Linked DNA regions of Diceros bicornis minor. The protein of the gene in region 1 purifies or fractionates together with the protein of each later gene. This does not show direct contact. Links are inferred from orthologs where the notes say so. Each region holds a gene or a part of one and is shown in the gene's direction. Other genes may lie near its edges.

Region 1 (8,413 bases):
GCCGGTAAGGGCCCCTCCCCTGGAGGAGATTGTGTGGAGAGGGGTCATTCCGACTTGTCCTGTTTTGTTTGCGGGGCTGAGGGAATGGACGGGTTATCTCCAAGAGAGACCTGTGGAGCCCTGACTGTGTGTTCCCTACAGATGCGTCCACCACCTCCCCCACCAGCCAAAGCCCCGGATCCTGGCCACCCAGATCCCCTCACCTGAAGCCAGGGGTATCTCTGCCCCCCAGTGATGCTGCTGCCCCTATCTCCACACTGTCAGAGAACACCCCCTCAATGATCCAGAGTGATACAGCCAAAGGCGGGAATCTCCCCCATTTCTACTCTCACCTCCAGGAGTAGAAACTTCCCCTCTTCCCATTTCTGGGGCTGGAACCCACTCTCTTTTCCCCATCGTGCTGCTGCCTCTAAGGCTGGAACTACTCCTTTCTCTTCTGCCCCCATCCATCTCTAAGGTGGTGAAATATCCTGAAATCTCTGGGGCTGGAACCCATCCCTCAAAGTCTTGAGTGGCTCTGGCCCATCTGTGTGTCCACCCTGGCTCTGTGACCCACCCCACTCCAGATGCCAGGGCCACTGGTTTGGGGGCTGGGACAGGGGCAGGCCTGTCAGAAGGAGCTGGAGCCAGTATGCGAAGCAGCTGTAATGGTCTGAGCGGATTTATTGACAGTGAATAAAGGGCACGAAGCCCAAGCCAGAGCCTGGGCCTCTTGTGCCAAGAGAGCAGGGGACTGAGGTGCTATTGCTTTAGGGGCCTACCAAGGGCAGGGGCCTGCTCTCAGCTGCCACGCTGTAGCATATGGAGCGAGGTGATGGGGAAGGCGGGTCAGGCGGCCTGTTGGCAGGCGGGGGAAGGAAACAGACTGAGGGCCGGGGGTTGGGGGAACTTCTCCCAAGGTCCCCCAGCCTGAGACTGTGCAACTCCAGGTGGAAGTAGGGCTGTTCCCTCAGCTGGGGGGCAGTGCTGTCCAGTGGAGAGGAGGGGCTTCGTGCCCACCCATCCCCGGCCCTGCCAGCTGGTAGTCCATCAGCGCAATGAAGGAGGAGGCTTGGAGAAGAGCAAGGGTAACAGAGTTGCCTCCTATTCAAGCTGTGTCCCAGCTTTTCCCCGGGGCTGCAGGACCTTCCCTATCCCCTGGAGCACATGTCCACTCCCCACCACCAAACCAAGGAATTTATAGCAAAGGCTAAGCCTGCAGTTTACCCTGGGTATACAGGGAGCCAATGGACTTAGGTAGTTTAAGTAGGGGGTGGGAGGATGACATTTTCTGATTTGGGCCAGGCAGACTCACCTCACACAGCCCCTGCTCCCCGTGGTGGGGACACCTGAGAGAGAGGAGGGGTCAACAATGGGAGAACAGGACATGGGTCATATTAGTGTCCCCCAGCATAGGGGGCAATAAGAGCTGAGCCCACCACAGGCCACCATAGCCCTGGCCATGTCTTCATACCTGGTGATCTGAGGTGTCCAGTTTGCTTGGCTGTCCATTTGCCTCTTGACTGGCCAGCCCTGGGCTTGGGCCCCTCCCTCCAGCCCCCAGCATTGGCTCTACAGAGGCTCCAGGGTTTCTCTCAAGTGCACAAGGGACTAGGCTGCTGTCCCTGAGTCCTCCATTCTGCACTGGGGGGCTGGTGATGGCTGGGGGCTGTGGCCTCTCAGGGGGCAGGCTCTCAGTGGCAGGCATCCCTGCCCTGGGATGCCCTCCCCCAGACCCCTGACCGCCCCCTGGGTCCTGCCCCCCACCAGACCCCCAGCTCCTGTCTGTGGGGGAGCCATCACGATGCTCATGCAGCCCGTAGCGCTTCTCAATGTGTGTCACCCGGAACCTGGGAGGGGAGGGAACACTGGGGCTTAGGACCACAACTCAGAGGCTGCTTGGCCCCTTCCTCCAGCCAGGGATATTCTGGGTTTGATGGCCACTTCCTTCTGGCCTAGGGCAGGGGAGACCTCTTCAGATTCAGGGGCACATTGTGCAGCCTGACTCCTGCTGTAGCTCGTAGCTCACAGTCCAGGAAGAAAGCCGGAGTCAACCTTTGGAGTCAGGTGCCTGATCATTGGGGCCCCCACCTCAACCTCTCTTTCCCTGGGGTACTCTATCCCCACCTGCCCACAGAGAACACGGTGGTCTCCCCAGGCCGGGGGCGGCTCTTTCCTTCCTTGGAGCGTCCCTGACGGACAAGTGGAGGCCTCTTGTTGCGGCTGCAGTGGATGCAAGGGGCTGCAGAGCCCAGGTGCACTGTGTGATGATGGGAGGGGGCTCCGTCCTGCAGGCTGGAGGTAGCATCCATGCTGGACAGTAGGGAGGAAGGGAGAAGGAGTGACATTCCCATTTCCCTTCCTGATCCATTTTCTTCTATTCTTTCAGCGTGCTCCTTAAACCCCCAGATGCCCCACTTTCCCCAGGCCCCAACATTCTTTTCTTGTCTTTATCTAATAAACTCAATATTAAGATGTTAGTGACCATGCGTTCTCCTTCCCACGGCTGTTTTGCTAAAAAGAGAGCAGTACTTAACCCAAAGGAGTGGCACAGGGGGTGAATGTTAGGCTTGATGACATCCAGATGGGACATAGGGTTTTAAGAACTCAGGACTTCTACACAACTTCTTTCTTCCTATAGCTTAGCCAGCCTTGCTCTCGCCCCTGACCCCAGACATGCGAGGAGACTTGGTGAGGAGTGTGCTGGAGGAGAGGGTACTCTCCAAGGTAAGCTAAGTCATGCTGGCACTTGTTTCCAGCTCACCTGGACAGCTGCACTGTCCCTTCTCCTTCACTGTCCCCCAGCATCTCCTTCAAGGCCTCAGCATTGGCTGAAGGGAGAAGGAAAAGAGGGAGTCAGTGGAGGTGGAGGTCAGGGCAAGAGAAAGTCGAGGAGGGGGGAGCAAGGGGCCAGTCTACACCCACCTTCATTTTGGATGATGCAACGAACAATCCTCTCTACTGTGTCCTCATTCATGTCATCGTCCTCAGCTGAAGGATGAAAGAGGTTGGCAAGGAAGCAGGAAATGAGTCAGCTTTGAGGGGACATTACCTGGTGGCTTCTGTGGCTTATTGCTCAAGACATACCCCTTTACCTATTTGCCATCATGCTGGATGTTAGCATTTCAGTGGCCAGGGCAGAAAAGATACGGAAATCAATGGGAGCCCAAGAATACCATCAGTGGGCCCTTCCCACTAATGCTGCCTTCTCTAGCCTTGCTTTCAGGGTGGTGTCACCCCCACTTGCTGACTCAAGAAAGCATCACTAGGTCTCCTGAAGGCTTGGTCGGTTTGGCCTGGGTCTGTTGGCCAGGAAGGCAGAAAGAGGTGTGGGGAGAGGGGTAAGGGAGAAAGGTGACTGAGCCAGGTTCTAGGCTCCTCACTCACGGGGCTGGAGCTGGGCGTCGTCAGGCTCCGAACCCCTCGAGGTGCGGCAGCGGTACCCCTTCTTCTTGAGCACGTGGCAGATCATGAAGCCTACAAGGCCCATGAGGAAGAAGACCAGCACAAGCAGGAAGAGCATGTACAGCCCATGTTGGGGCGGCTCCAGATCAGGCTGTGGTTCCGACATGAAGCCCTGGGGGGCGAGCGCGGGCCAGGGCGCCTCCTGGGGTTAGGGGGCTGCAGCTAGGGATGGGGGGAGGGATAGGAATGCCGTCCTCAAGATCCGAAACAGGCGAGCCTCCCAGGTCCGGCCCCACCCCCTACCCAACCAAGGAGCTGTCCGTGTCAGGGGTGCTGGTCCGGGCCAGGGGTGCCAGACGGCGGCTGCGCAAGCCCTCTTCCACGACCCTGGTCCCGCTTCCCCGACGCCCAGAGGGTTTCCCTTTCCAGCTTGTCCTGCGCTTCCGTCCCTCCCAAGGACACTGCAGAGTGAGATGGGACGGAATTCTCAGGCGGCCGGCGCAAGAATCCCACCTGAGTCAGCGTTCGCACCTCCTCCGCGCCGGCCTGAGCCAGGCCTCTGCAGCCCACTCCCCTGCCTGTACTCCCGCACACCCCTCCCTTTCGATTCCTCCCATCCTGACCGCCTGGCCCACCCGGTACCGGTGGTTTGGTTCTGGCTCCGGCTCCGGCTCGGGTTCCGGTTCCAGGGGCGTCCTAGTCCGGCTCAGGGCCCCCGACGCCCTCTCGGGGCTCATCCCTTGCTTCCTCCCCCTCCCCCCTTCGCCGCCTCACTGGCTCCGGGCTGCGGCTGCAGATACCGGTGCCGCGGCAGGCGGGGGGAGGGAAGGATGGAGAAGGATGCGGGCTGGTTGGGAGCGGCGGCAGGCTCTGGACAACTCCGGCCCTGGGAAGGGGAGGAGATGGGGGGCGCCGCAGCCGCCCTGCTTCCCAAATGCCCTCGCCCGTCGCCGGCCCAGGACCAGGGGGCGGAGCGCAGGTGTGCAGGGCGGAGAGCTAGAGCCTTGCGCGCTTGTGAGCGCAAGTGTGGTGCGCGCGTGACTGCGCCGGGCCCCCCTCCCGGGGGAGTGTGCGGCGCCAAGTCTGGGTCCTGGTCCTGGTAGGGACGACAGGCAGTCAGGCGAGAGTGCTCTCCACTGGTCTATCCGGCACGCCTGGCGCGGATCCCGCCCTCAGATGCCCAGGCCGGGTGGATAGCCGGGAACCTTCCCAGCGGGCCGGGGAAGTCGGCTTTCTGCACCCGAGAGGGACAGCGTGGCCGGTTCTCCGGAGCCTCCTAGAGAGGTGACCACGGCCTGCGCCCCGTTTGGGGCAAGTGGCTGGATGGGATGGCTCAACTTCCCGAGCATATGACCCCCGCCTGGAAGGAAATGGCCCTCGCATCCTAGGACCAATGCTCTCCGTCCTCCGCCCAAGCCCAGACGCTCACGCCCCAGAACCTAGAAGGGCGAAGCAGGGCAACTGCTAGAACTGCGCAGGGGGCGTGGTCTGGGCGTGGGCGTGGTCTAGGGAGGCGGGGCCTGGACCTCCCGGTTCCGCAGAGGCCGGCTGCGTGCCTACGCAGCACGTACGACGGGGGGTGGGGCAGGCGGCCCGGCGGGTGGCGGAGGCGCGGGGCCTGATCCCGCCGGAACCATGGCCAAGACCGTGGCCTATTTCTACGACCCCGACGTGGGCAACTTCCACTACGGTGAGGGAAGAAGGTTATGCGCGAGGGGTTTCGGGACGCGGAGGTCTACAACTCTAGGGATGGGAGCTGACGAACTCTCTTCTCCCACCCCCAGGGGCAGGGCACCCTATGAAGCCCCATCGCTTGGCATTGACCCATAGTCTGGTCCTGCACTACGGTCTCTATAAGAAGATGATCGTGAGTCCCGTCGTCTCTGCTGGGATTTGAGGGTGGGGGCGAGCTGTGGCCCTAGGGGTAGGTAGGCTGCACTGAATGCACCAAGTACGACCCACCCCTGAAGTGGGGGGAGGCTGGATAGAAGGAACCAGGAGCATCCCCCATATGCGAAGTGTTGGTGGGTGCATCCCCTGACTTAATAGGAGTTACTTTTTCACCTTAGGTTAGCCACCCTTTGACCTCAGGTGGACCAACCTTTGACCTAGGTTAGGGTGGAGTGGGGCTGGTTTGAAGACAGAAGGTGTTTTCCTCCCTCGCATTTCAGGATGTGGGCAGTGCTGTGGCCTCAGGAAAGGGAGAGGGGCTGGATCACCGAATCTGGGTGTGAGGTTACTCTCAGTTCCCACCCCTTCTTTGCCACCTCTCTCCGCCTCCAAGGAGCTAGAGCTCCAGGGAGGACTCTGCTGCCCTGTGTGTGAGTGTGTATGTGTGTGTGGAGGAGAGCAGGAGATGTCCTGAGTATTCCCTTTCCAACCTAGAATACCCCTACATGGGTAATCACTACCCAACCCTCACATGCTGTCTGTCCCCACCTTAGAATTTATTGCTGTGATATGCAATTATAACAGTTAAGCTCAGCCCTTATGCATTACAAGGGGAATTAGTCAACAGTATGAGTGTCCACTGCTTGTGCCGAGGCACAGAGAAGTGAACTGGTCGTAGAAAAGACTGAGGTGATGTTAGTGCATGAATCTATGAATCCCTTGAAATTTAGTCTGCCGCTGTATGTACCTGTGTGCATTTTTTGGGGAGAGAAAAGCTTTTTGTTCTGTCCAATTTCTAAAGAAGTGTGTAAACGCCTCAAAAGATGATAAATCTCTGGCTAAGCACCTTGGCACTTTGGGTTTTAGTTAGAAGGTTGTCATATATCCCATATTATTTGACTCTGAAATTAAGAACTCAGAGGAGAGAGAGGACAGAATCAGAGTCCAGGGGTGGAGAGGACTATGGAAAGAAGCAGGAATAGGAGATCCGGGGAACAGGGCAGGTGGATCAGGGCTCAAGGTTGAGAAAGTAGGAAAGGCTGGACTGGAGGTGAGAAGGAGAAGCCAACCCCCATGGTCTTTAGGGGGCTTGACCATAATAACCCACCTGGCTAATTGGAGCTTCTCTTCTTCACTGACCTTTGCCTCCTAGAATAACACGGCTTGAGGGGTCAAGGGATTGCTGTATGTAGTTTTGGACAGTCCCCAGGGCTGGGTTCAGTGTGGGTGGTCTCAGTCCCATTAGTGGGACTGACCCTGCCTGGGTTCATCTTGTGTTTCCATCCTGAGGTCTTCAAGCCATACCAGGCGTCCCAGCATGACATGTGCCGCTTCCACTCTGAGGACTACATCGACTTCCTGCAGAGAGTCAGCCCCACCAATATGCAAGGCTTCACCAAGAGCCTTAATGCCTTCAACGTGGGCGATGACTGGTGAGGGGAGGACTGGGACTTTTGATGCCAGGCACTTTGATGCCAGGCATTTCAAGGAGAATACTTGAGTGAGGTCTTGTGGTAGCAGTGGGAAGACATGAAGAGGCCTACTTGTCAGTGAATCATCATTTACCCATTTGTTTATTCAACAAATATTTACTGGTCATTTGCTGTAGGCCAGGTCCTGTGTTAAGTGCTGGGGATGCAGTGATAAACAACAACAGCAATATTTTAATATTATAGTTGTGGTAAGTCCTATGAAGAAGAGGCACATGACAGACCATGGGAGTGTATATGTGGAAGAATTATCCAGCTTGGGAGTGGGCTAGTCAGTGGAGGCTTCCTAGAGGAAATAATGAAGATTGAGCTGAGATCTGAAGAAAGAGTAGGAGGAGGTAATTAGGTGAAAGGTGGTTGGGAGGATAGAGAGTAGGGACAGGAATGTTGTGGGCAGTAGGGAGAACATGTGCTAAGGATCTGTGCTAGGATAACGTGTAACTCATTTGAGGAACAGAAAAAAGGCAGACCACAGAATCTGAAGAGAAGAGTGATCTGAATTGAGGTTAGAGGTAGGCAGGGCCTTTAAAAAGTAAACAGCCCTATTATGAATTGGGGTTTTTACCCCTAGAATAGAGGGAAGTCATCGAAGTATTTTAAAAAGCAAGAGGGTGATCTGACATGATCAGGTTTACATTGAGCTTGTATCATAGCAAGAAGACTCAGAGTTAGGCCCTGTGGAGAAGGGAGTGGACAGTGACGATAAGCCATGATCCTTGCTTACATTCTAGTATACATCCATGAAAATACAGTGACCATAACAGCTACCTTTACTCAGTTTGTTTTTAAACTTTTTATTAGGGAAAATTTCAAACATTTCTGAGAGTAGACTAGTACAGTGAACCCCCACATATCCATCACCCAGCTGCTACACTTATGAGCAAATGGGCAATCTTACTTCATCTGTATCCTCTTATGTTAGTTAGATTATTTTAAAGCAAATCCCAGATGTCATATCCTTTTATCTGTAAATCCTTTGTTGTGTATCTCCAAATGATACTCTTTAAAAAAAAACCACACAATATCATTATGACATCTCAGAAATTACCAGTAATTCCTTAATATCATTGAATTTGCAATCAATATTCAGATTTCTTCAATTGTCTTATAATTTTTCTTTTTTGCAGTGGAATTATTTAAATTAGGATCTAAACAAGGTCCACACATTGCATTTGGTTGTATGTATTCCGTCTCTTAAGACTTTTAATCTGTAATGTTTCCTTTTCTTCCTTGAATTTATTTCTTGAAGAAACCAGGCTGTAGATCCTGCAGTTTCCTACAACAGCTACCATTTATCGAATGCTTACACTGCTATGCTGGGGATTGCTGGTACATCCACTAAATTCTCACACTAACCCTGAGATATAATATTCCTTTTCCTGATGTTAGGCATAAGTAAACTGGAGTTTCAGGCGATTTAGGTAACTTAGCCTGAGTCACATAACTAGTCACTGCAGGTGGCAGGATTCAAATCCAGAGCCCAGGTTTTTAAACACGACACTAATCTGGTTCCCTGAAAGATCCTACCAATAGAAGCAGCCTGGGCTGGAGGACAGAAACGAACTCCTTAGGCTGGCATTGAGCACCTTCCCAACCTTATCCCCATACCCCTGCTGCATAGAGTCCCTTCCTACAATGCCCTTTGTTCC
Region 2 (7,402 bases), on another chromosome or scaffold:
AGAGACATTCACGGTATGTTAGATTCCAAATTATATTTTTATAAAATATGCACATATATGATTTTTTATCTATGTATCTCTATAAATAACTTATGATATAAACTAACCAAATAATTAAGGTGGGTTTTTTTGCTGATTCAAAAATACTTAAAAGCTGTTCTCCCTATTGTAAATGTCAAACCATATAAAACATTCCAATGAAAGCTTAAATAATGCCCTCAGTCCTACAGCATTTAACACAGGTGCATTCTGCTGTTATTAAATGACAATATGACTCTCAAAAACAAATAGAGCTTGGCTTCTATCTGTTATAACCTAGTTTATTACCTTCATTATAGCATGGCAATGCAAAAATTTTATGAAGGTAAAATGTTTACTAAGCATCCCTAAATTTGAAAAAGATTAATTTTAAATTTTTCTCAGTTTGCTCTTGTGAGCTGCACAATTGACTTACGAAGTCAGAGTGAAATAGTCACACATCAACCACAGCATCCCATGGAAATATTCATATGGAAGAAGTGTGTAGCAGAAGAACTAAAGAATCTCAACCCCAAAGTAATTAGATTTCAACAGGGAAATAATCTCAAAGCCACTCAAGAGGGAAAAAAAGGTTTAATTAAATTCCAGTGTTGAAAACTGGATGTGGTATCCGGCAGGTTATTTGTACATACATTAACTTGTTACTTTTCATCGAAACATTCTCCTCCCCTGTGACATTAGTACCAAAGGCAGCAATTTGGTCCAGAACCACTAGCAAAATACATCCTCTGATTTTTATTTTCATTGAAACGGTCACTGAAAATAGAAATAATTCTTTTAGAAACATTATGTTCTTAGAAATGTAATTTTTAAAATATATTACTCACAGAGGGAAATTCTGATTTAAGAGAATGGTTGAGATTCAAATCCTACCTTTATGTATGTTTTATTTTTGAGAGCATTTTAAAACAGCAAAACTGTAAAATATTTAGATATTTTCTGAGACCACCTACAATTATATATTTACCTAAAGTTGCAGAAGAAAAACGTCAATGAGCTGTTATTGTTTTCCAGTGCAATTGTTATTTTTCTTCCAACTAACCAAATACTACTTTAAAAATTCACTGTGAAAACTTACATTTCATTCCTATTCTGAGCCTTTTTGAAATGTCCCCCGTGCAGCAGATTTGGAAGAATCTGTCACATAGCATTCGCCCAACATACCGCTTCGTTGTATTTTTTATTTTGTATTATAACAAAAGTACATTTTAGTATTATTCCAGGGGAACACCAGGAGTGAATGTGGCAATGTTTCCTTTCCTTCCTCTCTTCGAGAGGCAGAGGAAGGGAAATTCTACATTGCCGCTAAAACGAGCGCTCTCGGTGGAAAGGAATTCTTCATTTCCTACACGATGTTACTGAACTTTATAAGCTCTGTTAAAAGCCGTTCAGACTGAGGGGTTCCCGGCACCTCTTAGCTGAGCCACATGCTGCCTGCTTTCCATTCATTTTAGTTCCTCACTAAGGAAGGCGCAGTGTTTTTTGTTTCTGGTTTTAAAGTGTGCACCGAGCAGGGCGGTTACAGCTCGCGCAGATCCCGGGAACCCCAAATGCCCGGCGGCCCGATTTAGAATAAATCAGCAGTAGCTTTCTTTGCTATTATCGTCCTTGCCGGCGTTCGAACTTGGGATTTATTGGTTGAATCTCTTAGCTGAGTAGCGCCCACCGTGCCGCTCTTGAAAGGCGAAACTTAGTGCATCTATAATTGCAACTCTTTTCTTACCAAGGAAGGGAACTTGACCCTGGCCCGAGAGACTGCCGAGGACAATCCGACCCGCAGCCCCTCGCAGGGTTTAGGGTTTCATACCGCTCGAGCCCCAGAGGAGCCTTCTCTGACCTTTCTGAGCGGCAGATCGCCCCAGTCCGCTATATCCCCGAGTCAGAGCCCATTCTTGCCTTCGCTGCACTCCGGAGCCCCACCCCGCGTCCCCGGGGGTCCCTGGGGATGCGCTTGGAGGCGGCTCCCAGGAGCGCTTGGTTGGCTCTTAAGGGAATGCATTTGAGCCGAAGCAAAGGGTTGCACTTGGAACACGCCTCTAAAGCGAGCAGCGTTGATCCTGGGCAGGGGGCAGCAGACGGGGAGGTTTGGTGACTGCACAATATTTGGAATTGCTCGGCCAAGGCGGAGAGCGGCCGTTTGGGGGGTCTTTACACCTTAAATGAGGTTTCTTCAAAATCATTTAAAAAAAAACACACAAAGGAGTTTTCTATCTGCTAGACCTAATAGAACAAAGTGCAGCTGGATGCTGGGGGGTTCCCGGGAGTGTCAAGGACAGGCCCACCTGGGGAGAAGCGCGGAAGGCAGGACGCAGCCTGCGCCGAGGGCCCGGCGAGGGCGCCCGGGGTGCCTGCAGCACGGACGGCCTGGGGCGGCCGACTTCGGGGTCCGCGCAAAGGGGTTTCGGGAAGAGACCCCCAACGCGGGCCGGTCGGGAGAGCCAACACCCTGCCTGAGATTCCCGCGCCACCAGCTCCGCCGCGGGGGTAGCGGGGGCGGGACGCGGCCGCCCAAGGCTGGCTCCAGCGGCCGTTTCCTGTCGTTTCTCCCCAAACTGAAGTTCTTACAAGAGCGATGCGAAGGCCGCGCGGAGGGCCGGCGGAGCCCCGCGCCGTCGGGGGCGTTCCCGGGCGCACAGCGCGGCCGCCGGGCGCCCGGGGAGGCGAGCGAGGGCTGCTGCTGCCCCCTGGCGTCCGCCCTGAGCCCGCGGCCCGAAGCGCCTCCCCCGCGGCCAGTGTCCGCCTCCCGGCAGCTCGCCGCAGCCCGCCCGGCCGCTCGGGGCCTGGGGCAAGGGAAGCGGCCTGGGCGCCCGGGAAGGCCTCTGCGGCCGACCGCACGGCCCTGGCTTCCGTCAGGCCCCAGCGGCGGAGCCCGCAGAAAGTCTGGCGCGGCAGCCCCCCAGGACCCCAGCCGCGTGTCCGCAGAGGGGCAGGAGGCGGCGGGAGGGAGGGCCCCCGCGGGGACCGAGTGAGGGACCCCCGCTGGGGGTGAAATTGAGGGCTCCTTGAGGAAGGTGGGGAGGGGCTCCTGCGAGGGGGGAGTGGGTGAGCGCCCTCCCCAGGGGATGCGGAGCCCCGCGGGGGACGGCCAGGCTGGGCTCCGTGGGCAGAGAGGGAGCCCCGCGGCGGGGGGGAACGGGCCCTGCGCGCCGGGACGGGGGCGGGGCCCCGTTAAGCTCCGCGAAAATGCCCGCGGCGCCGCGGGGACGGGCCCCGGGAGAAGTTCCCGCCCGCGCGCAGTGCCGGGGTGGGTTCAGCGCCCCGGGCCGCTCGCGGGCACGGGGACAGGGAGAGGAGCCGGGGCCGTTTCCGGGGAGCCGGGGGTGGGTGCGGGGCTCGAGCGACCCGGGCCCGGCGGCGGGCTTCCTCGCCGCCTGCGGAGGAGCCGACGCTCCGAGGACGGGGAGCGAGCCCGGCGGATGCTTTCAACTTTCCTTCCAGCCGCACGTTCTTGGGGGCCTTGTCTGATTAGGAAACTCCTGTGCTCGCCGCTCGGCGCACACAGCCTGAGTGAGGCGCGCTGCGTAATTAAGCCGCAGCCCAGACGCGGCGAAAAACACCAATTAAAGAAAACAAACCGAGAGAGAAAACTAAAAACACAAAACCATGTTGTGAGAGCCGTCTGGCCTCATTAAATGAATCAGCGCCACTTCGCTGCAGCTGCCAACCGGGCCGTGGGGCCGCGCAGAGCCGCTCTCCGGCCGGGCCCTCGGCCCTCCGGCTCCCTCGCGGCCGAATCCCACCCACGCCGGGGAAGCAGAGGCTCGGCCGTGGGCGGCCGCGCAGGGCCTGGAGCCGCTCGGGGACTCCCGCCCCGGGCCCGGGAGCCCCGTGGGGGCCACTGCATCTCCAGGACGCGCGGGGCGCCTCCCTCCGCCTGGTCTACAGGCCCCGGCCGCTCCGGGCGCTGCGCGTAGCCCGAGTCCTCCCCAAGCCGGCCGGCCTCCTCTTTCCACCTCCTCGGTCTCCGGACCGCGGCCGCCCGTGGCGCCCCTGCGCACTGCAGCCCCGCGGCCGCCAGCCGCGCAACCGCGCGCGTCTGCAAAGCCGCAGGGCCGCGGTCTGCACCGGGGCGGGGCCTCGGGCGAGCGTGGGAGCGCGTGAGTGTGTGTGCGTGGATGAGGGCGCGCGAGGAGCGCGGGGTGACCGCGGCGGCCGCGGACTCTCCATCCGGGCTGCATACAGTAGCGCGCGGCGGCGGCGGGGGCGCGCGGGCCAATTCCAGGAGCCCGCGGCCGCGAGCCGCGCCCTGGCTGATACCGGAAAGGCCTGTGATTGGCCGGCGGCCGCCCCTATGCAAACGAGCTGAGGGAATGGAATTCCTCGGGCCGGGCTTACAGTAAAAGCACGTTCATTTCCAGGCACTCTCATTCATAGAGCCAGCGGGCGCAGGCGGGACGGGCGCCCCGCGGCCGGACCCAGCAAGGGTACCACGCTGCCCGGCCCTGCGCCGGCAGGCATCTCTTCCTGGGGCCCCTGGGGACACCAGAAGAAAGTCAACCTTTGCTGCTTCTCCTTGACCTGCGTTGGAGTTTCGATTTGTTTTTTTCTTTCTTTCTTACTTTTGAATGAACTGGTTTCTTGGCTGGATGGTTTAACTTCTTTCCTGGCTGTGAACTTTTCTCCGGTTGTTTCCTTTGACAACTGCAAGAGAAAGTACGCTGTGCTGCGAGGCGAGCCGTGAAGTTGCGTGTGCGTGGCAGTGTGCGTGGGAGTGTGTGCCTGCGTGTGTAACTCGAGCCGCTCTGTCTGTTTCGATCTGCGCTGCAGAGCCTCCTGCAAGGCCCGCTCCACCTGCTGCGGTTACGCGGTGATCGTGGGTATTGGCGTGTCCGCGTAGTTAACCGGCCGGCTCTGGGGCGACGTTGGAGGAAGATCTGATCTCGTACCGCCTGAGTCGGGGCTGACTCAGGGAGTCAGCGTAGACAGTGGCTGGCTTCTGAAGAGTGCGTGTCTGCGTGCGTGTGACTCGGCTGCTGCTCAACTCCCACCAAACCACAGGATCAGCCACAAACTTAACCAACATCCCCAAACCCGAGTTCTCAGATGTGGAGAGCTGTACCCTGAGTGTCATCGACTTGGACCTTATTTTATTTTTTAAGATTAGCTTTTCTTTGAAAAGCTGAATTTTCTGAACTGAGAATTTTGCCAGAATTGGAGAGAACATGACAAGTACTTCTAGCCCAGCCCTTCTCCAACTACTGAAGCTGTTTTTCAAGGCTACTTAAAAAAAATCTGCAGCGAACATTAATGGATTTCTGTTGTGTTTAAATTCTCTACAGATTGTATTGTAAATATTTTATGAAGTAGAGCATATGTATATATTTATATATATATATATGTGCACATACATTAGTAGCACATTTTGGAAGTCTCAGCTCTTGCTTTTGAGGACCGAAGCCTGTTTTGCATGATAAAAGTGGCTCTGAATATGGAAGACACTCGTGTATTTGGTGTTGTGTTGGGACTTTAGACAAAACTCACCTGGGAAAAAACTGACAGGCGATTAACTACTGGAGCTTCCAAACAATGTATTTGCTGGTCCTTCTGCTCTCCGCATAAATATTTTAGGAAGTGTATGGGAATTTTGCCTCCGGGAACTTTTGTAACAGCTAAAGCTGAACTTAAACTCTCAAAGCAAGACTCAGAAGAAGATAGTCTCCCTTGGCATTTGACTTGGGATTCTGGTCGCCTACTTTTTAAGGCACTAAGCGGTCGGTTGCTAGGAGCCCTGACCGAGTCTGAGGCTCATCGGCATAACTAGAACTTGCCCCCTCCTGGACTGTTAGTAAACTTAGTCTTTCCCCTCCCCCAACCCCCCCGCAGCAATAAAGGCCCCGAACTTGTATGTTGGTCTCCCGGGAGCTGCTTGCTGAAGATCCGCGCCCCTGTCGCCGTCTGGTAGGAGCTGTTTGCAGGGTCCTAACTCAATCGGCTTGTTGTGATGCGTATCCCCGTAGATGCCAGCACGAGCCGCCGCTTCACGCCGCCTTCCACCGCGCTGAGCCCGGGCAAGATGAGCGAGGCGCTGCCGCTGGGCGCCCCGGACGCCAGCGCCGCCCTGGCCGGCAAGCTGAGGAGCGGCGACCGCACCATGGTGGAGGTGCTGGCCGACCACCCGGGCGAGCTGGTGCGCACCGACAGCCCCAACTTTCTCTGCTCCGTGCTGCCCACGCACTGGCGCTGCAACAAGACCCTGCCCATCGCTTTCAAGGTACTCGGCCCGGAGCGGGTGGCGGGAGGACGGGCGGAGGCCGGCCGAGGCCGGGGGCGATCCGGGAGGGCAGCGGCCTGGCGGGCGGGGCCGGCTTCTAGGAAGGGGCCGGCGCTGCCCTCGGCGGCCCCTGGTCCATCCCCCTGCGCTCGGGAGACGGGGGATGCTGCGTTGCCGTGGCGACCCTCCCGGGGACCCGCCTCAGCCCGCCAAGGCTGACTCCCGGAGGGCTGAAGAAATCAGGATGCCCCCGAAGACGTCCACAGTGGGCCGGTGGGGACCTCCCTGGCAGGGGTCCTTAGCTTTGATACAAAGTAGGAAAAGTTATAACCCCAGCAAGGACTAGCCTGTCTGCTCCCGTGCTTCTCCCCCACCTCCGGCTTGACTTCCAAACCATCCTGACTCCCTCAGATGGAGGCATCAGGAAATAAAATGGACATACTTTTATACCTTCGGGTCAGTGCAAATAAACTGATAAGGAAAATTGTCAGGGCTTCCCACCGCCACCCCCTCTTAACAGCCCGATACGAATTAGCATGTTCAAAGTCCACAGCGGGCGTAGTTAAGTTTGCAAGTTTTCTGAAGAGTTTTTGCGAGATTCCAGCCCGCTCCTGCCAGAAGCCGCAAGTAGCGAGTCCTGTTTCTTTGCCTGGAACCCTCCTGAACGTTATCACTGGCTCACCTAGATTAAGCCCGGGGCAGCGAAAGGTGACAAAGCTGTCTTGCGCGAGCCTGGAGTCTAATCGCCCGCATTTCTGTTTGAGGAGGGGGCGGCGTGGACCAGGCGGCCTCGGCGGAGCAGCTCCAGAGGGATCCGTTCCCTTTTCACCCCTGATCTTGCCCTAGCTTTCAGCTGCCTTTAAAAACCTTGGCCTTCAACGGGGATATATAAACAACCCCGGGCGTTTTTAAACAACCATCCCACCACCCTGGCCGCAAACAGCAGAAATTTAATTTCGGCGATGGGGACTCGGTTCTTGGGTCTTGGGTGGGATTAAGATGGGGCAGCTTTTTAGTACAATCAGTGCATTTATTGCTGTTCATTTAAAGGGCGAAGGCAGGCAGATGAAAAAAAAGCTGTAAAGATCAGCTACCCTCTCTATTTTTAATCTGGTTAAATATTGTTCCCTTTAAGGGGAGATAAATTTAATA
Region 3 (7,529 bases), on another chromosome or scaffold:
TTAAAATGTCAAACGTTTGAAACTATGTTAAGCTATTTGGTTTTGGGTAACAAAATTAATGCCAGTTTAAGGTACAGTGTTCAAGAAGATAGAAATATCTTTGTACAGTCTCCCTTCTTAACATAAAATTTCAATAAAGTGGATTAAAGTTGAGTTGTCCAAGGTGACATAGGAAGTCTATGGGAAATGCATCTATTTGGTCTACTCTGTCTCCAGGAACTCGTTCCTGATTAGCCCAGTGACCTCTCTCTCTCACTGAATTATTGTAATACTTTTTTGTGTCAGTCTGTCAAAAAGAATTCACGCATTTATTCACTGCTCTGTACCAACCCTTGATATAAAGAGAAAGACTTCTGAGCCTCAAAAGCTGGTAGTCTAGTAGCATATAAAGTAATAACTCTTGGTATGGTGTAATAAATGCTTTAATATAGGCATGTGCAAGGTATAGTGGTGGCACAAAGGACTTTTCCTCAGAGAACTTTCTGGAAGTCAAGGGAAGCAGCTGGTGTGACCTGAGTCTGGTGCAACTGGAGCAGAGAAAATTTGGGGAGATAAAAGCCAGACAGGTGGTTGGTGCAGATCACGAAGAGCTTTTTAAGACAGCAATGGGAAGCCGCCGAAGGATTTTAGATAGAATACGATTTGTGTAAAGACCCCTCCCAACATAAGCTCCATGAAGATGGGACTGTGTCTCTTTCACGGTTATAGTCTCAGTATCTGGTACATAGTAACACTCCATTTGCTAATTGAAAGACAAAGGGGCAAGACTTGCACATTTGAAAGATCACTCTCAGCACTATGAATCAAACATATTGAGACTGGAATCAGAAGACCAGTTCAGAGATCCTTGGGCTGGCCTACACAAGAGACCAAGAGAGCTTGAACGAAGCAGCAGCAATGAAGAAAGAGGGGAGAGAGAAGAGTGAATACACAGCCTCTGAGGACTGACTGGAACAAGCGGTGAGGCAGAAGAATGCGAGGGAAAGAATCAAGAATGATTCCCAGACACCTGGCTTCATTAATTCATTTGAAAGACATCAACTACTAGAAATATGAAGTCAAATAATACATGGCCCCTGCCACCAAGATATTTATGGGGTATTGGTGAAGATATATGATTAAACCAACTATTATGATACTTTGTAAAAGATACCATGTATGATAGAGGCACATACAGGAGCTCAGAGGAGAGACAAGGACTTCTAACTTAGTTGGAGTTCAGGGAACTCTTCCCAGAACGTATGGCTATTGAGTTTTGAAGGACGATACAGGTTATCTTACAAAGGTAAAGTTGAGAATGTGCTGAATTCAAGTGGAGGTATCGGAATAGGGAATGCAATAATCTAAGACCCAAATCATACATGGCTTCAGAGGCAAAGCCAAAACCAGGACTTAGAGCATTGATCGTTTCACTTTATGATGCTTGTTATTAATCACATGCTCAACAGGAAGGCCTAATGAAATGATTAGTACAAATTCAATATTACTAAATATTGCCAGGCACTATTCTAGGTACTAAGAATTTAACAGTGAACAAAACAATAAGGTCCTTTGGCATAGTTTACATCCTACTAAGCAATTAGTCACTGTAGACAGTTGAATCATGTCCTTCCAAAATTCAAGTCCATCCAGAGCCAAAGACCTTATTTGGAAATCAGGTCTTTGCCAATGTAATTAGCTAAGTATCTCAAAATGAAATCACCCTGGATTAGGGTGGGACCTAAATCTAATGACTGGTGTCTTATAAAAGGAGAGGACACAGAGAGACACAAAAGGAAGAATGCCATGTAAAGACAGAGACAGAGATTGGAGTAATGCTGTCACAAGCTAAGGAACACCAGGGGCCACCAGAAGCGGGAAGAAGCAAGGAAGGATTCTCCCCTAGAAACTTCGAAGGGAGCGTGGTCCTGCTGACGTGTTGGTTTCAGACTTCTCACCTCAAGAATGGTGAGAGAATAAATTTCTGTTGTTTTCAGGCACCAAATTCATGGTAATTGGGTACGGCAGCCCTAGGAAATAAAATACAATCATGTATTTTTTTCTGAATAAGTAATACATTAATATAGTTAAAAAATAAAAAATAAAAATGTGTACAGTGAAAAGTCTCCCTCCCACCCTGTCTCCTATTTGCCTAGTTCCCTTCTCATCTCAAACATTTAACCTCTGGGTTTCCTGTATATTCTTCCAGAGATTTATAATGTGTATACACAAAAAAATAAATACATGTTTCTCTGATGGACACATAATTTCTTTTTCAAAAAATCAAAAAACCTCATTTGCATATTTTTTCACTTCATGAACCATGATTTATTTCCCTAGTTAGGCCACAATTCCTTAAGAACACGGACTATTTCCCCAATACAGGACTGTGGACTGTGCACGCAGAGATGTTCAATATACGGTAACCAGTAACCAAATCCTCCCCTTGTGCACCTGGTCCTCAATAGCAGTCTCCATTTCCTTACTCCTTCTGCCCCTTCTGTTCCTCTGAACTGCACTCACCAAAGTCACCAATGGTTTCCATAGCAACACAATTTAGTGGACTCCTGTAAGTCCTTTTGTTGCTGGACCTCTTGGCAGCAACTGACACTGACTGCTCCTTGAAACATTCCCTTCTCAGGACTTCCATAATACTACACTCTCCGGCTTTCCTCCTCTCTCCTTGGCTATTCCTTCTCTACCCTCAGGGATCTGCTCCAGATGCTCTACTCAATCTCTTCTTTTTCCCCCAAGATGACTTTATCCACTCCTGTGGTTTCAGTTACCATTTTTATGCCAACAATTCCCCATTCTATAGCCAAACCACCCTCCTGAACTCTAGACTATTACTCAACATATATGTATCTCCAACCACTACTCAACATAATTACATGAATGTCTCATGGATATTTCAAATTCCACATCTCCAACATGTAAACTCTTTGTCGTCTTCTTTTCCCCAAACCTTGCTCCTCCTATGCTTTTGCCATAGAGGCTGCCTAGGGCAGAAACTAACACTTCTGCCTCCCTCACCCCCCACTCTCTCACCAGGTTCTGTTGAGTCTCCCTACTTCCTAATTATCTCTCAAAATGGTCTTCTCTCTCCATCTCCAAGTCACTACCCTAGTCCAAACACCATCATCTCTCCCAAGATTCCTTTGACAGCAATGGCTTTCTTCTGTGGCCAGAGTGATCTTTTAAAAATGCAAATCTGAGCATGTCTCTTTCCTTTTACAAACTTTATATAGCCCCCCACTGCCTTTAAAATGCACACCTTCCTTGGGGGCTAGCCCGGTGGCATAGTGGTTAAGTTTTCACACTCTGCTTCAGCAGCCGGGGTTTGGAGGTTTGGATCCTGGGTGCACACCTACACACCACTCATCAAGCCATGCTGTGGTGGTGTCTCACATACAAAATACAGGAGGATGGGCACAGATGCTAGCTCGGGGCCAATCTTCCTCAGCAAAAAAAAAAAAAAAAAAGAAAGGCACAGGGCCAACCCAGGGGCACAAGTGGTTAAGTGCACACGCTCCACTGCTGCAGCCTGGGATTCACGGGTTCGGATCCCAGGCACACACCAATGCACTGCTTATTAAGCCATGCTGTGGCAGTGTCCCATATAAAGTGGAGGAAGATAGGCTTGGATGTTAGCCCAGGGCCAGTCTTCCTCAGCAAAAAAAGAAGGGGACTGACATGGGCTGTTAGCTCAGGGCTGGTCTTCCTCACACACACACAAAAAAGCACACCTTCCTTAACCTGGTTTCAAAATGCAAGATCTGCTCCTATCCTACTCCTTCAGCTTCCCCCCAAGCACTTGACTGGACTTTTCACCACCCTCAACTGATGCTTCCTCTTCAGAGACAGAACACTTACACTAGTAACAAGATATCTGGACTTATTTGACCTTGGACATAGTGCTGTTCTTAACTTCTCTGTGCCTCAGTTTCCTCTTGTGTAAAATAGGGATAATAATGCCTACATCAAAGATTGCTGTATTAAATTCATTAATATATGCAAAGCACTTACAAGAGTGCCTACCCTACAGTAAGCCCTATATAAATATTAATACCATTTTTACACAAGTGCTTGGTATTGGGGGATGCCATGAGACTTTCAGTGGGGGAGGAAGAGGAAGATATTAAATAATTATATGCAAACATCATAAACAGAAAGTATAAAGTAGAAAACAAAAAGAACATAGAACCCCAGTCGTCCTTATCCAGACCCCCAGAAGCCTGAGAATCCATAGCCATAAGTGGGAAGCGAGCCTCCAGACGGCAGGCGGCACTACAGCATCCCCCAGCCGCTGCATCTCAGAAGAAGGGAGGACGAGCTACAAAGATCACGTGCCCGGCGTTTATAGCCCCAGCCTTCACTGGCTCTTCGCTCCACGTGACTCGCATCCTCGGGGGTGATTGGTCTGCGCGGGGCACGTGGGCAGGGCGGCCGGAGGCGGGGCGGAGCGGGGGCGGAGGGGTGGGGCCGGGGGGCGGAGCTGGAGGGGGTGGTCCGGCGCGGGGGCCGTTGGCTCCAGACAAATAAACATGGAGTCCATCTTCCACGAGAAAGTGAGTGTCCGCGTTGGGTGGGGAGCTGTGTGCGGCGAGGTGGCGGCGAGGGGCGCGGTATCGCCGCCTCCCGGAGAGCTGGGTGGGGCCCGAGTCGCCCGCATCCCGATCTCGCCGGGCGAGAGGAGCTTCACCGATGCCCCCACTGCACCCTCCGCTCGTGAGGCCGGGGCCCGAGATGCTCCAGGAGCCGGGGCCCGGGATGTCCGGGGAGCGGGCAGGGAGTGAGGGCAGGGCCGAGGGCTCGTCCGAGGGGGTGGCACCGAGTGGGCTAGCATCTGCGCTTCCTCTGCACTTTCCGTGGGATTCCTTCTCCAGTCCCTTGTCCCCCACTCGCCCTAGGTTCTAGCTACTCACCTCTGGGACACCTCCCTCGACCCTTCCCAACTCCACCCCACTCCCCACTCCCCACTCCTATCCCTTGGCAGAATTAACTTCCCCTTGTCTGGGCTCCTCAATTCTATATTGGAATCTCCCGTACACTTAGATCTCTGGCGTTGTCTTCATGTCCTTCTCCTGCACTAGATCTATGAGCTTCTGGAGGGCAGAGACCTTGGCTCCTCCCATAGAAGGCCTGACACTTAGGGAAGTGAAGTAGGGAACCCCGTGCGCCCCTAAACAGGGAAGTCGGCACAAGAGTTTTTGTTACGGGATGTTTGGGTTTCATTTCTTTGGCAGTACCGTCTTTACGGATCAGGAGGCTAGCTCTCTTATTAGGTACTGGGGTGGACTGGAATAATTTTGTTGTGGTCTGCCCGGCCTGTTTTGCTTTGATTCTTCAATGACCACGCACTTGAAGATACTGTTTGTGGTATGTGGAGAAACTCGTCTTTGTTATATACAATTAGCAAGCCACTTGGGTGTGAGTGAAACCTTCCTCAGGACAACTTTGACACATGATGTCTGTTTCATAATAGTTTCACGTTTGGAAAGGGTTGTGGTGAGGCTATTATTTAGTAGGAGCAGAGGGGTTTTGTTAAATACTTGTAAATGATCATGTATTCTTTTAAAAATTCACAACCCACGACAATCAAAGAGACAAAAGAGGCATCATATAAATGTAAACAAATTGTTAAATGGAATGCTTTTCTTTACCAAAACGTTTCAGAAAGTTTGGGCACTGAAATAGACTGATTTTTACGTGTGGGGGAGGAAAGATTCAGTAGTCTAGTTATCTAATCTTTTCACTTGATTGACATAATTTATGAATCTTGGACAAGAGAAATGTAGTTGCTTGGCTAAGGAGATTGGATGAAGAGAACCTGGCGTGTACATATTTTTATTACTGACTTTCAAAAGCTTTGGTGTAGGACCAGATGTTTCAACGTGGAAGACTGAACATTTTGCACACCACTTCTTGAAAATGATACAATGTATTTTAACAGTATTACTGTTAACTAGTTTGGATAGATTTCAGTGAAGGTAACTACTAAACCATGGGATCAAAAGAAGCTGTGCGCTAGTCTAATCAAAATCTACTTAGCTGAAAGTCACTCTCAATTATCAGCATGTGTGTAGGCTTAACGGTACTTCAGGAATACATTTATCCTTACTATCAATTTATATGTATTCAGCAAATGAAGGATCTTAAAGTTCTGCAGGCATATTTGAAGAGTATGGAAAGCACCTGTAACCATAGGGCCCATTGTTAATCTCCTACACAGTCCATTCTGGGAATGTTGGGGCTTAATATGCCATTTCCCAGCGCATTCCCTTCCACTCTGCCACGTACATTTAACCCTTGCTAGGTCCTGGGTTTGGAGAGCCAGCGAACCCTTGGCCCTAAGGAAGCTCTGTATGTAGAGATACCTGCCTTCAAAGGGTCTTGCAACCACTTCCTCTTTGAATGTTGCTTTCCCCATTTTTCAGAGTTGCCACTTTGAGTGCCCTTTATTAAGTTAACAGCTGTTCACCGATACATCCCCAGTGCCTGGCACATCATAGGTGCTCAATAAATATTTGAATGAATGAATCAAGAGTTCCTTGAGCATCCATGTATATGGTGCTGTTTATTTAAAGTAAACAATTTTTCTGTAAATATTTTAGGCTTTGCAGGTCATCTATGGTCTCACATATTCTTGTTTGTGTTTTTTTCCCCCTCAATCATCTAAAAATGTAAAAACTATTCTTACCCACTGGGGCAGGTTGAATTTGGCCCATGGGTTAGAGTTTGCCAACCCTTAACTTAAATCCTAATGCTATATGGCCACCAATTGCTGTTTTTTGGGGGGTAGTTGGATTAGTTGTGGTGCCTGCTTTCTGTCATTTTTGTTATCAGTTCTATTGCTGACTGCTCTTGGTACGGTCACTGTGCCATCCAAATTAGAACTTTTATGTCGTGTGAACTGAGAATGATAACCAAACTTGTTGAGATTATATTTAAAATTAGTGAAAATATTATAAATATGCTGAGCATTGACTTGATGACATTCATTATGTCCCGCTGTGATTGAGGGTCCTTAGCCATCTTTAGGATATTTGAGGTTTAGGAATAACCAAATTCCACCTAAGTGGCTTGAGGAAGTGCTAATAGCCACTTGAAGCCTTTGCCCGGGTTTGAGTCCCAGCTGTACCATTTACCACCTGTATGATCCTGGGCAAATTCCTTATTATCTCTGTGCCCCAGTTTCCTCCTCTGTGGTTTGAGGATAGTGAAGTGTCTGTCTCAGAGTTATGAGTACTTAGGATGCCACCTGGCACATAGTGCTCTAGAAGTGCTGGCCATTGTTATTCAGATGCTTGTGTTGGCTGAACCTCATAATGAGGGGTGGGACTGTATTATCACTCAGATGAGTTGAAGAAGTGCTGTTAACTTGATTGCATGGCCCAGGTTAGCCTGTTTTTGAGCGCACCCTTGGGTTTGTGCCTGGTTTCTGTTGTAGTCATAGTGTCTCTGGGAATTTGAACAAGTTTTGGGTGAGTCCTGAAGACTTTGGGGACGGAAGGGAATGATTTGGTTGCAGTTCCCTTTTGTGGTTTTGT
Region 4 (7,963 bases), on another chromosome or scaffold:
GACAGGGTCCACTTTGATTGCTTGGTTACAGTGGTGCCAGCCAGCATCTCCCGTGGGAACTCAAGCTTCTTCCCTTTGTGACTAACGGGAACGTTGTGGGGAGGAGCTTTAACACTAGGCAAACAGCCCCTTTCTCATCAAACTTCCAACTTATGCATATGTTTATTTTAATAAATATTTAAATATGCACAGACTTGCGGTTTCCTATTTTATTCCATGGTTATAATCCGTGACTAACATTATGATCTCTGATTTGCCAGTAGGGGCCCCTTCGAGCCGGCTATGTGTCCTTCTGACATGTCCCTGTTATGATTTGCACCCTTCTGTACTTCTAGGCACAGCAAGATGTTCCACGCTCGTCCTGTGCTCTTCCTACCCAGGCCCTGAGACCAGCCATTTCTCCAAAGAACTCTAGTTCCTTTTAGTGAAGGATGCAATTTAGAAGCCAAGCTGTGGGTTCTCGGTGAGCTCACTGCTGTTGGGGTGTCACTCCTCGCAGGGCCTCTCACTGGACAGAGCTAGGGATTGTATGGACGTTTGCACAAACACACATTTACATCTATGGTTTTCCTATTTGTTTATAAATATTGATATTCATGGGTTCACATACATATAGCTAATTCCAATCCAATACCACATAGTTCATTTATCCCTTTCTGTGTTTTAATTCCCATCTCTAGCAGTGAGAAACCGGACTCCTTACCCGTAATGCATTTCCTTATTTGGTCAGTCCCCCAGTTGTGTAATCAACTCCACGCTCCAGTGGTGTCCCCTCACTCCCTTGGCTCCCTTGGGCTCTGACTTCTCACTCAGGGCTGCCCCCAGGGATGGCTCTGTGCCCCTGGATCCAGCTCCAGGAGCCCGAGGGTGACAGGCTGCATAACACACTCCTGTGTCCTGCCTTCCCTCCCATCTCCCTTCCTCCAACCCCTGCCTGTGTGTCCTGGGATCACCTCCCAAATAAACTATTTGCACTCAAATCTTTGTCTCAAGTTCTGCTTTTGGTGGAACCCAAACTAAGACCAAAGTCTTTTCTAAATTTTTATCAAGCTCATGTTACTTGATATTTTTTTTTCAAATTTAAAGTTTTAAAACAGTATCTTAGCACTTTCCTGACCACGGCAGTTTGTGCCTGGCTGTGACCAAGTGTTTCCTTCCAGTTTGTAAGGAATAGGGAGTAGGGAGCAGGTGGGAGCCAGAGAGGGCAGAGCTGGTCCCCTCCAGGGGAAGCTCTGTCAGGGTCTCTCTGTTGGGGCCTGGTGATCTGAGCCTCCCAGCCCATTTCCCCAGCTGAGCCTCCGACCTCCCCCTGAGGCAAGGGGCACCTGATCACAGCCAGCACACTCATCTCTCTGGTCCTGGAGCGCTGCTGGCTCCAAGGTCAGCCCCCCGACTCGCGGCCCCTCAGGACCCAAATGATCTTGCTCCTTTACTAACGGGTTTGTTGATCACTTGCCAGACTCGCCGCAGGAGATGGGAGCCACATGGGGCAGAGCTTGGACTCCTCCCTCCCTGGTCCCAGTGCCAGGCTCTGTGTCTGCAGGGGTACAGGCTCCACACATGTGTGCTTGCTGTGTGAGTGTGCACACGCATGACCACAAGCCCACACCCATCAGTGTGGCAAGGGCCTGGGAGTGAGCTGCGAGCAAGGGACAGGTGTAGTGAGTCCCTGTGCCTGTGGCCTGGACCCTCCACCTGCCAGTGTGGTGCCTGGCCCATGGCACGGGGGCAGTGGGAAGAGTGGGCCACTGGCCAGAGCAGCTGCTGGGACGGGTTGGAAGGAGGAAGGCCAGCAGGTGGGAGCCCTGGCTGGGCACAGGGAGAAGACAGGGCTTGGCCTTTGGTGGGTGGGGTGGGCTCACCTGCTCCAGAAACTCCAACATCTTGTGGGGAGGAAGCCTGAAAGTCCACCGAGGTGGAGAAGCTTTAGAGATGAGTCCAGGCTCTCCCTGCTGCTCAGGGCCCTTCACCCTCACCTATCCTCCACCACACTCCCCCTGCAGCTCTGGGAAAGTGTTGGCCCCTTCCCAGAGCCCTGCAAAGCCAGACCGGGTAGAGGGAAGCAGAGCATCAGAGCTGGGCACTGCCCATTCGGGGGACCTCGGGCTCAGGGTCCTCCTGGGAGCACCTGCCTGGCCAAAAGAGCAGAAGAATTCTGCACCCGGCTAGAAACCCCTCCTGGCCAGCCCTCTGGTGCTCCAACCACCTTCTTTGGATTACAGGTTGCCTGAGCTGCCTGGGATTCAAATCCACGTGGAAGAAATTGACTTTCTCAGGTGCAATATAAACTTTTTTAGTCCAAATGTGGGCCAAGGAAACAATCTTCAAAAACAAATAAGTCACTTTTCTTTGGTTTTTAAATACCCTTTTCCTAGTTTTCTTCTTTGTGCACATAGAGAGGCCTCGTGCTGGGGGTTGCCGACTGCTGGGGTCATCGAAACAAAGAGTGGGAGGGACAGCGGGAATCGTGATGACAAGGAGGGACAGTCCCTAGGGCACAGGCGAGGGTGGGGGAGGGTTTACGTCCACGGTGAGGAGCGATCAGATTTGTAAACACGGGGCACTGCACCCTGAATCTCAAGGCTCCCCACACCAGGCACCGGCCTGCGTCTTGAGCCACGCAGGTGTGAGGTCACCTGTCCATCCTAGCTGCCCATCCTGACACCTGCCCACGCCTCAGGGGCCACCGAGGCCTGCGGGGATGCTGGGTTGGCTCCCTGGGGCAGGTGCTGCCCCCCAGGAGTGCTGGTTTGGGGCCCGTTCCAGCCTCCACCCTGGGGGGGGGGTAGGAGCAGAAGGTGACAAGGTGAAGGTGACCCAGGCTGCCGCAGGCATGGCCCTCTCGCCCCTGCCTAGCACTGCAGGCATCCCCCATGTGTTGCCCAAGGCTCAGGGCAGCTTGGGTACCCTTGTCTTGTGGAGGAAAAGGTGCCACTACCCAGCTCAGCTGGACTGTCCTTCTGCCCCCGAGTTGAGCACAGCCAGAACTGTCCCCCTGATTTCAAGTCCCCACCCTCGGGGTCTCTGCTGGATGCTGCCTCCCCCGGGGGGCCACTCGGCTAGCCTGTCCAACTTCGGCCCGTCTTCTCCCACCGGCCCCTTTCTGGTTTGTCTCTCCCCCCACGACACAGCCAGTGCGTGAAAGGACGGACAGTGTGGTCTCACTCTGGCCACGCTCTGGGCGCCCTGCAGATGTCTAAGTGGCTCTCGGCAGGGAAGGCTGCAGGTTAAGGGTCACGCTGTCCTGCCCGAGGCACGAAGGAGCCAGGTTCCTGAGGACCCACCTTGGGCTTGGCCCTAGCAGTGACCTGGCCGGCGTGCACAGGGCACAGCTCCTGGACGCAGGGCCGTCCATCTCAGGCACAAAGCCCTACCCCGTGGAGCAAGCAGTGCTGCTCTGGGACTGCAGCGGGGTGAAGCTGCTGGCTAGCGGCCCCGCCAGCCGCGGGGCGGGGACCAGAGGGCAGGGGCGCGGAGTGGCTGGCGTTGCGTGCCAATCATGCCGGGGTGGGGGTGGGGTTGTGCCGCGCCTGCGTGGTGCGGGGGTCCCGGACACGTTGCACGCGGTGTCTCCTGTGTGGGGCCCCGGGGTGCTGCAACCCTCACTCGCAGTTACCGCCACTGTGTTGTGGCGTCCCCGTCCTATGTGGACCTTGGGTTATACTGCACGGAGGCCCTGTCGTGCGTGTGGCGTCCCCGTCGTGCGGGGGCCGCGAGGGGTACGATGGAGGGTGCGCAGCCCCGTCCCGCCCGCCCCTCAGCTGGTTTGCGGTTGTGGCGGGGGCCGCGTGTGGGTTTCTAGGCCCCGGCGGCGGCGGGACGGGCGCCTTCCCAGCCGCGCAGGAAGCGGCCTCGGCCGGAAAGGGGGCCCCCGGGCGCCGCCGCCGCCCCCGCCCCCGCCGAGCGGCCTTCCGGCGGGCGGGGCCGAGCGGGGCCGAGTCCCGGTGGGTGGAGCCGAGCGGGCCCGAGTCCCAGGTGGGCGGGGGCCGAGTGGGGCCGAGTGGGGCCGAGTTGAATCCGAGCGGAGCCGAGTCCCGGGCGGACGGGCCCGAGCGCAGCCGAGCGGCCCGGGCGCGGGCGGGGGAGTGCGCGTTCTTGGAAGAGCCGCGCCGGGAGGCGGTCGCATTCCTGGCCGGCGCTCGGCTGCGGCGGACGCGCGGCCCCAGACGGTGCGCGGGGCGGGGCGGCGGCGCGGGGCGGGGCGGCGGCGTGAGCTCAGCGCCGGGCGCTCAGTCCGAGCCGGAGCGAGCCGCCGGGAGGATGTGCGCCGAGCCCCGCGCCGCCGCCGCGCTCTGAGGGCCGCCGCCACAGCGCTCCCGCCGCCCCGGAAGCCGCGCGCGCGGGCGGACGGGCGGGAGGGCGCGGGCGGGCCGCGGAGCCGGCGCGGGCGGCGGGGTGGGCGCGGGCCGGGCCGGGGCGGCCGGCGGCGGGCGCGACGCGGCCGGCCAGCGCCGCCGGGACGAGCCGGGCGGGCGCCGCGCGGTGGGAGGAGCGGGGCGGCGGCGGCGCGCCGCGCGAGGACGGCCCGGCGGGCCCGGCGCCCGCGCCCCCGCTCCTCCCGGGCCCCTCGGCCTCGGCCGCCGCGGCGATTCGCGCCTCGCGGCGCCGGCACCTGCCCGCGCGCCCCCCGCGAGCCCCGGGCCCGCGAGCGTTGGCGTTGGCGTTGGCGGCGCGCGCTGGGGCATGCCCCGCGCCTAGGGCCCGGGGGGCGCGCGGGGGGCGCGCGGGGGGCCCGGGCGGCGGCGGGCGCGGCGCGGGGCGCGTGGATGTGGCGCCGGGCCCGGGCACCGGCGGGCTCCAGCGGCGGGACCCCTTTGCCCCGCCCGCCTTCCCCTTCGCGCCCCCGGGCGAGGCCGAGGCCGCGGCCGTGATCGGCCGGGAGCCGGCGGCGGGGGGCGGCCGGGGCCGGGGCCGGGGCCGCCGCCGGGGCGCGCGGGGCGGCGGTGGGGGCCGCGGGGGCCCGGGCGCGCGGGAGCGGGAGCGGCCCGGGGAGCAGGAGCGCACCATGGAGGCGGCGGCGGGCGGCCGCGGCGGCTTCCAGCCGCACCCGGGGCTGCAGAAGACGCTGGAGCAGTTCCACCTGAGCTCCATGAGTTCGTTGGGCGGCCCGGCCGCCTTTTCGGCGCGCTGGGCGCAGGAGGCCTACAAGAAGGAGAGCGCCAAAGAGGCGGGCGCGGCCGCGGTGCCAGCGCCGGTGCCCGCGGCTGCGGAGCCGCCGCCCGTGCTGCACCTGCCCGCCATCCAGCCACCGCCGCCCGTGCTGCCCGGGCCCTTTTTCATGCCGTCCGACCGCTCCACCGAGCGCTGCGAGACCGTGCTGGAGGGGGAGACCATCTCGTGCTTCGTGGTGGGCGGCGAGAAGCGCCTCTGCCTGCCGCAGATCCTCAACTCGGTGCTGCGCGACTTCTCGCTTCAACAGATCAACTCGGTCTGCGACGAGCTGCACATCTACTGCTCGCGCTGCACGGCTGACCAGCTGGAGATCCTCAAAGTCATGGGCATCCTGCCTTTCTCGGCGCCCTCGTGCGGGCTCATCACCAAGACGGACGCCGAGCGCCTGTGCAACGCGCTGCTGTACGGCGGCGCCTATCCGCCGCCCTGCAAGAAGGAGCTGGCCGCCAGCCTGGCGCTGGGCCTGGAGCTCAGCGAGCGCAGCGTGCGCGTGTATCACGAGTGTTTCGGCAAGTGCAAAGGGCTGCTGGTGCCCGAGCTCTACAGCAGCCCGAGCGCCGCCTGCATCCAGTGCCTCGACTGCCGTCTCATGTACCCACCGCACAAGTTCGTGGTGCACTCGCACAAGGCCCTCGAGAACCGGACCTGCCACTGGGGCTTCGACTCGGCCAACTGGCGGGCCTACATCCTTCTGAGCCAGGACTACACGGGCAAGGAGGAGCAGGCGCGCCTCGGCCGCTGCCTGGACGACGTGAAGGAGAAGTTCGACTACGGCAACAAGTACAAGCGGCGGGTGCCCCGGGTGAGTGTCTCTGTCAGCCTTGGCTGCAGGAATGGTGGGATGCTGGGTGAGCTGGGCCCCAGGGTCTGGAAGCTGGGGAGGTGGCACGAGGAGGGGCCAGTCCCTGGGAAAGGGTGGGGGGCCTTCCTGGGCTAGGGGTTGTGTCTCAGCAGGCTAGGACCTGCGCTTCTGCCTCCTCTGATGTTGTAGGGTTTTGTTTTGTTTTGTTTTAAGGAAATCTAGGGTAGTGTTAGTTGCTATCAATGGCCATGTAGCCTGGAAGGAAGGACCTTCTGGTGGACCCCTAGGACAAACTGGCTTGCCCAGTGTGAGGGGCCCTGGGGGTCTGGGGCCAGGCCTGGTGGGTGGAGAAGCCTTCTTGAGGCCCACAGCCATTACCCAGATGAACCAGGAACGGCAGGCCTCGGGTGCTTCTGCCCTGAGTCCTGGGAAGTTAGATTCCGACTGGGCCCAGGCTGGAGCCTCAGGCCTTCCTCAGGGCCCTAAGGAGGTGTCCAGACCGGGTGGGGGTGAAGGGCGCTGTGCTCGTCTCGAAGTTCTTGGGCTTGCAGACAGAGGGGTGCTTGCCCATGGTCTCCAGCAGACAAAACTTGGCGAGGTGGGGCCTGTTTGTGCCTTGAGGTTCTTGGAGACAGACTCAAAAACGAAGCCAGGTGTCCAGGCTGAGGTGGCAGGGGGCCGAGACTCTGCGACTCCAGCTCTGTGCGTCGCTGTGGGCCTGCCAGTAAGTGCATCCCAGAGTCCCTTGTGCGGGGGTGAGGGCCACTTGGCACTGGGCTTGGGGCCTGGTCAAGTGTTGGAGTAGCCGACGGCTTGCGATTTGTTTTGGACGCCGTGTTTCCTTCTGTTCTTCTCTCTGAAACGCTGAAGGGTGCGGCTGGGAGGGCCGTGACCGAGGCTCTGTTGTTTGCCAGACGGAGGATCTGTGATCGGCCGGGCAGCTCCTGGGTCACTAGGTGCCAAAACCATCCACTGGGGTCTTCACCAACTTTTCATAGTATCTTCTCTCTTCCTAGCTATTTGTGATTTTCATTTTAAATATCTAGGCTTATTAAATTGCACACACAGAATGCTGCATTGGTTTAGCTATTCTTGGGAGGCCTAATTAATTCAGCTATTGCATCAAACTTTTTTTTCTAAATCTGTGAATAGATGCTCCCGCCCGGTTTTCTCTGGGCGCCCCTCCAGTGGAGTGTCAGAGTCTCTGGGAGCGGAGGAGGGGCTGGAGAACAAGGGGCCTGTCGCCTGTGCTTGGAGGGGGTGCCACACATGTGAGCGTGTGCGTGTGCTCGTGGTGTTTCTGCCCTTGGCTAGGCCAGCGCCCAGGTGGCAGCTGTCTGCAGACTGTGTGGTTGGGGTTGGGCAGGAGGGATGGTCTGAGTGGGCAGCATGCGGTGGGGGAGGATGCAGGTGGCAAAGGCCAAAGGCAGATTCCCAGCAGGCTGGCTGGGCTCTTTATTTCAGATAGGGAGTTGGCTGTGGGTGGCCTGATGGGCGCTCCCTGTGAACTGGGGCCTTTCTGTTTGGGGTGCCTGTATGTGGCCCGAGGGAGCCCCGTGTGCAGGATTGTGGTGGGTCCCGGCGGATGAGCTGGGAGGTGAGGCTGTGGCAGGTCATTTGCCTGCAGAGCGGACAGCAGAGGGTCTTGTCTATGAGGGTGTGTCTGTCTGTGTTTGTGTCCGAGTCTGGGTCACGTGTGTATTTGTGGTCTTCCTGGGGTTGGCTGTTTGTCACAGCTGCAGACCCGGGCCCAGGCTCCCTTGCAGCAGGCCCTGCGGTTCTGGGTGAGCGTGTCTTTAGGCTCAGGGAAGGCCTGGCCTGAGCTCGAGGGCTCAGGCACTGCCTGGGGAGAAGCCAGGACAGTTCCCTGAGCCACAGTCACAGAGAAGAGGATAGAGTACGCTTTTGCTCTGGTCATTGCAACAGATGGTCAGTGCTGCCCTTCCTCCTTCAACACTCTCCCCAGTGGTGCTCAGAAATCTCATTTAC

Evidence for each region. Proteins that work in one complex are often made in the same cells at the same time.
Region 2: the proteins of HDAC3 (region 1) and RUNX1 purify together in Homo sapiens (affinity purification with western blotting; 3 studies listed by BioGRID). This does not show direct contact. The link is inferred for Diceros bicornis minor from reciprocal best matches to the Homo sapiens genes HDAC3 and RUNX1.
Region 3: the proteins of HDAC3 (region 1) and ATXN3 purify together in Homo sapiens (affinity purification with western blotting; 3 studies listed by BioGRID). This does not show direct contact. The link is inferred for Diceros bicornis minor from reciprocal best matches to the Homo sapiens genes HDAC3 and ATXN3.
Region 4: the proteins of HDAC3 (region 1) and SKI purify together in Homo sapiens (affinity purification with western blotting; 4 studies listed by BioGRID and IntAct, with this or other methods). This does not show direct contact. The link is inferred for Diceros bicornis minor from reciprocal best matches to the Homo sapiens genes HDAC3 and SKI.

What each region holds. Positions count from the first base shown.
Region 1 is NC_080740.1:59,789,957-59,798,369, reverse strand, and holds the start of HDAC3 (histone deacetylase 3), read left to right. Parts: upstream 1-4,967; 5' UTR 4,968-5,019; coding exon 5,020-5,074; intron 5,075-5,168; coding exon 5,169-5,251; intron 5,252-6,564; coding exon 6,565-6,707; intron 6,708-8,413. Other genes in the region: FCHSD1 (F-BAR and double SH3 domains protein 1), read left to right, coding at 1-4, 142-207; RELL2 (RELT-like protein 2), read right to left, coding at 1,296-1,328, 1,454-1,829, 2,107-2,292, 2,744-2,810, 2,905-2,970, 3,367-3,550. UniProt on the Homo sapiens protein: Histone deacetylase that catalyzes the deacetylation of lysine residues on the N-terminal part of the core histones (H2A, H2B, H3 and H4), and some other non-histone substrates.
Region 2 is NC_080766.1:35,215,354-35,222,755, reverse strand, and holds the start of RUNX1 (runt-related transcription factor 1), read left to right. Parts: upstream 1-4,367; 5' UTR 4,368-5,980; coding exon 5,981-6,250; intron 6,251-7,402.
Region 3 is NC_080763.1:37,928,756-37,936,284, reverse strand, and holds the start of ATXN3 (ataxin-3), read left to right. Parts: upstream 1-4,494; 5' UTR 4,495-4,523; coding exon 4,524-4,547; intron 4,548-7,529. UniProt on the Homo sapiens protein: Deubiquitinating enzyme involved in protein homeostasis maintenance, transcription, cytoskeleton regulation, myogenesis and degradation of misfolded chaperone substrates.
Region 4 is NC_080752.1:22,964,964-22,972,926, forward strand, and holds the start of SKI (ski oncogene), read left to right. Parts: upstream 1-4,928; 5' UTR 4,929-5,005; coding exon 5,006-5,974; intron 5,975-7,963. UniProt on the Homo sapiens protein: May play a role in terminal differentiation of skeletal muscle cells but not in the determination of cells to the myogenic lineage. Functions as a repressor of TGF-beta signaling.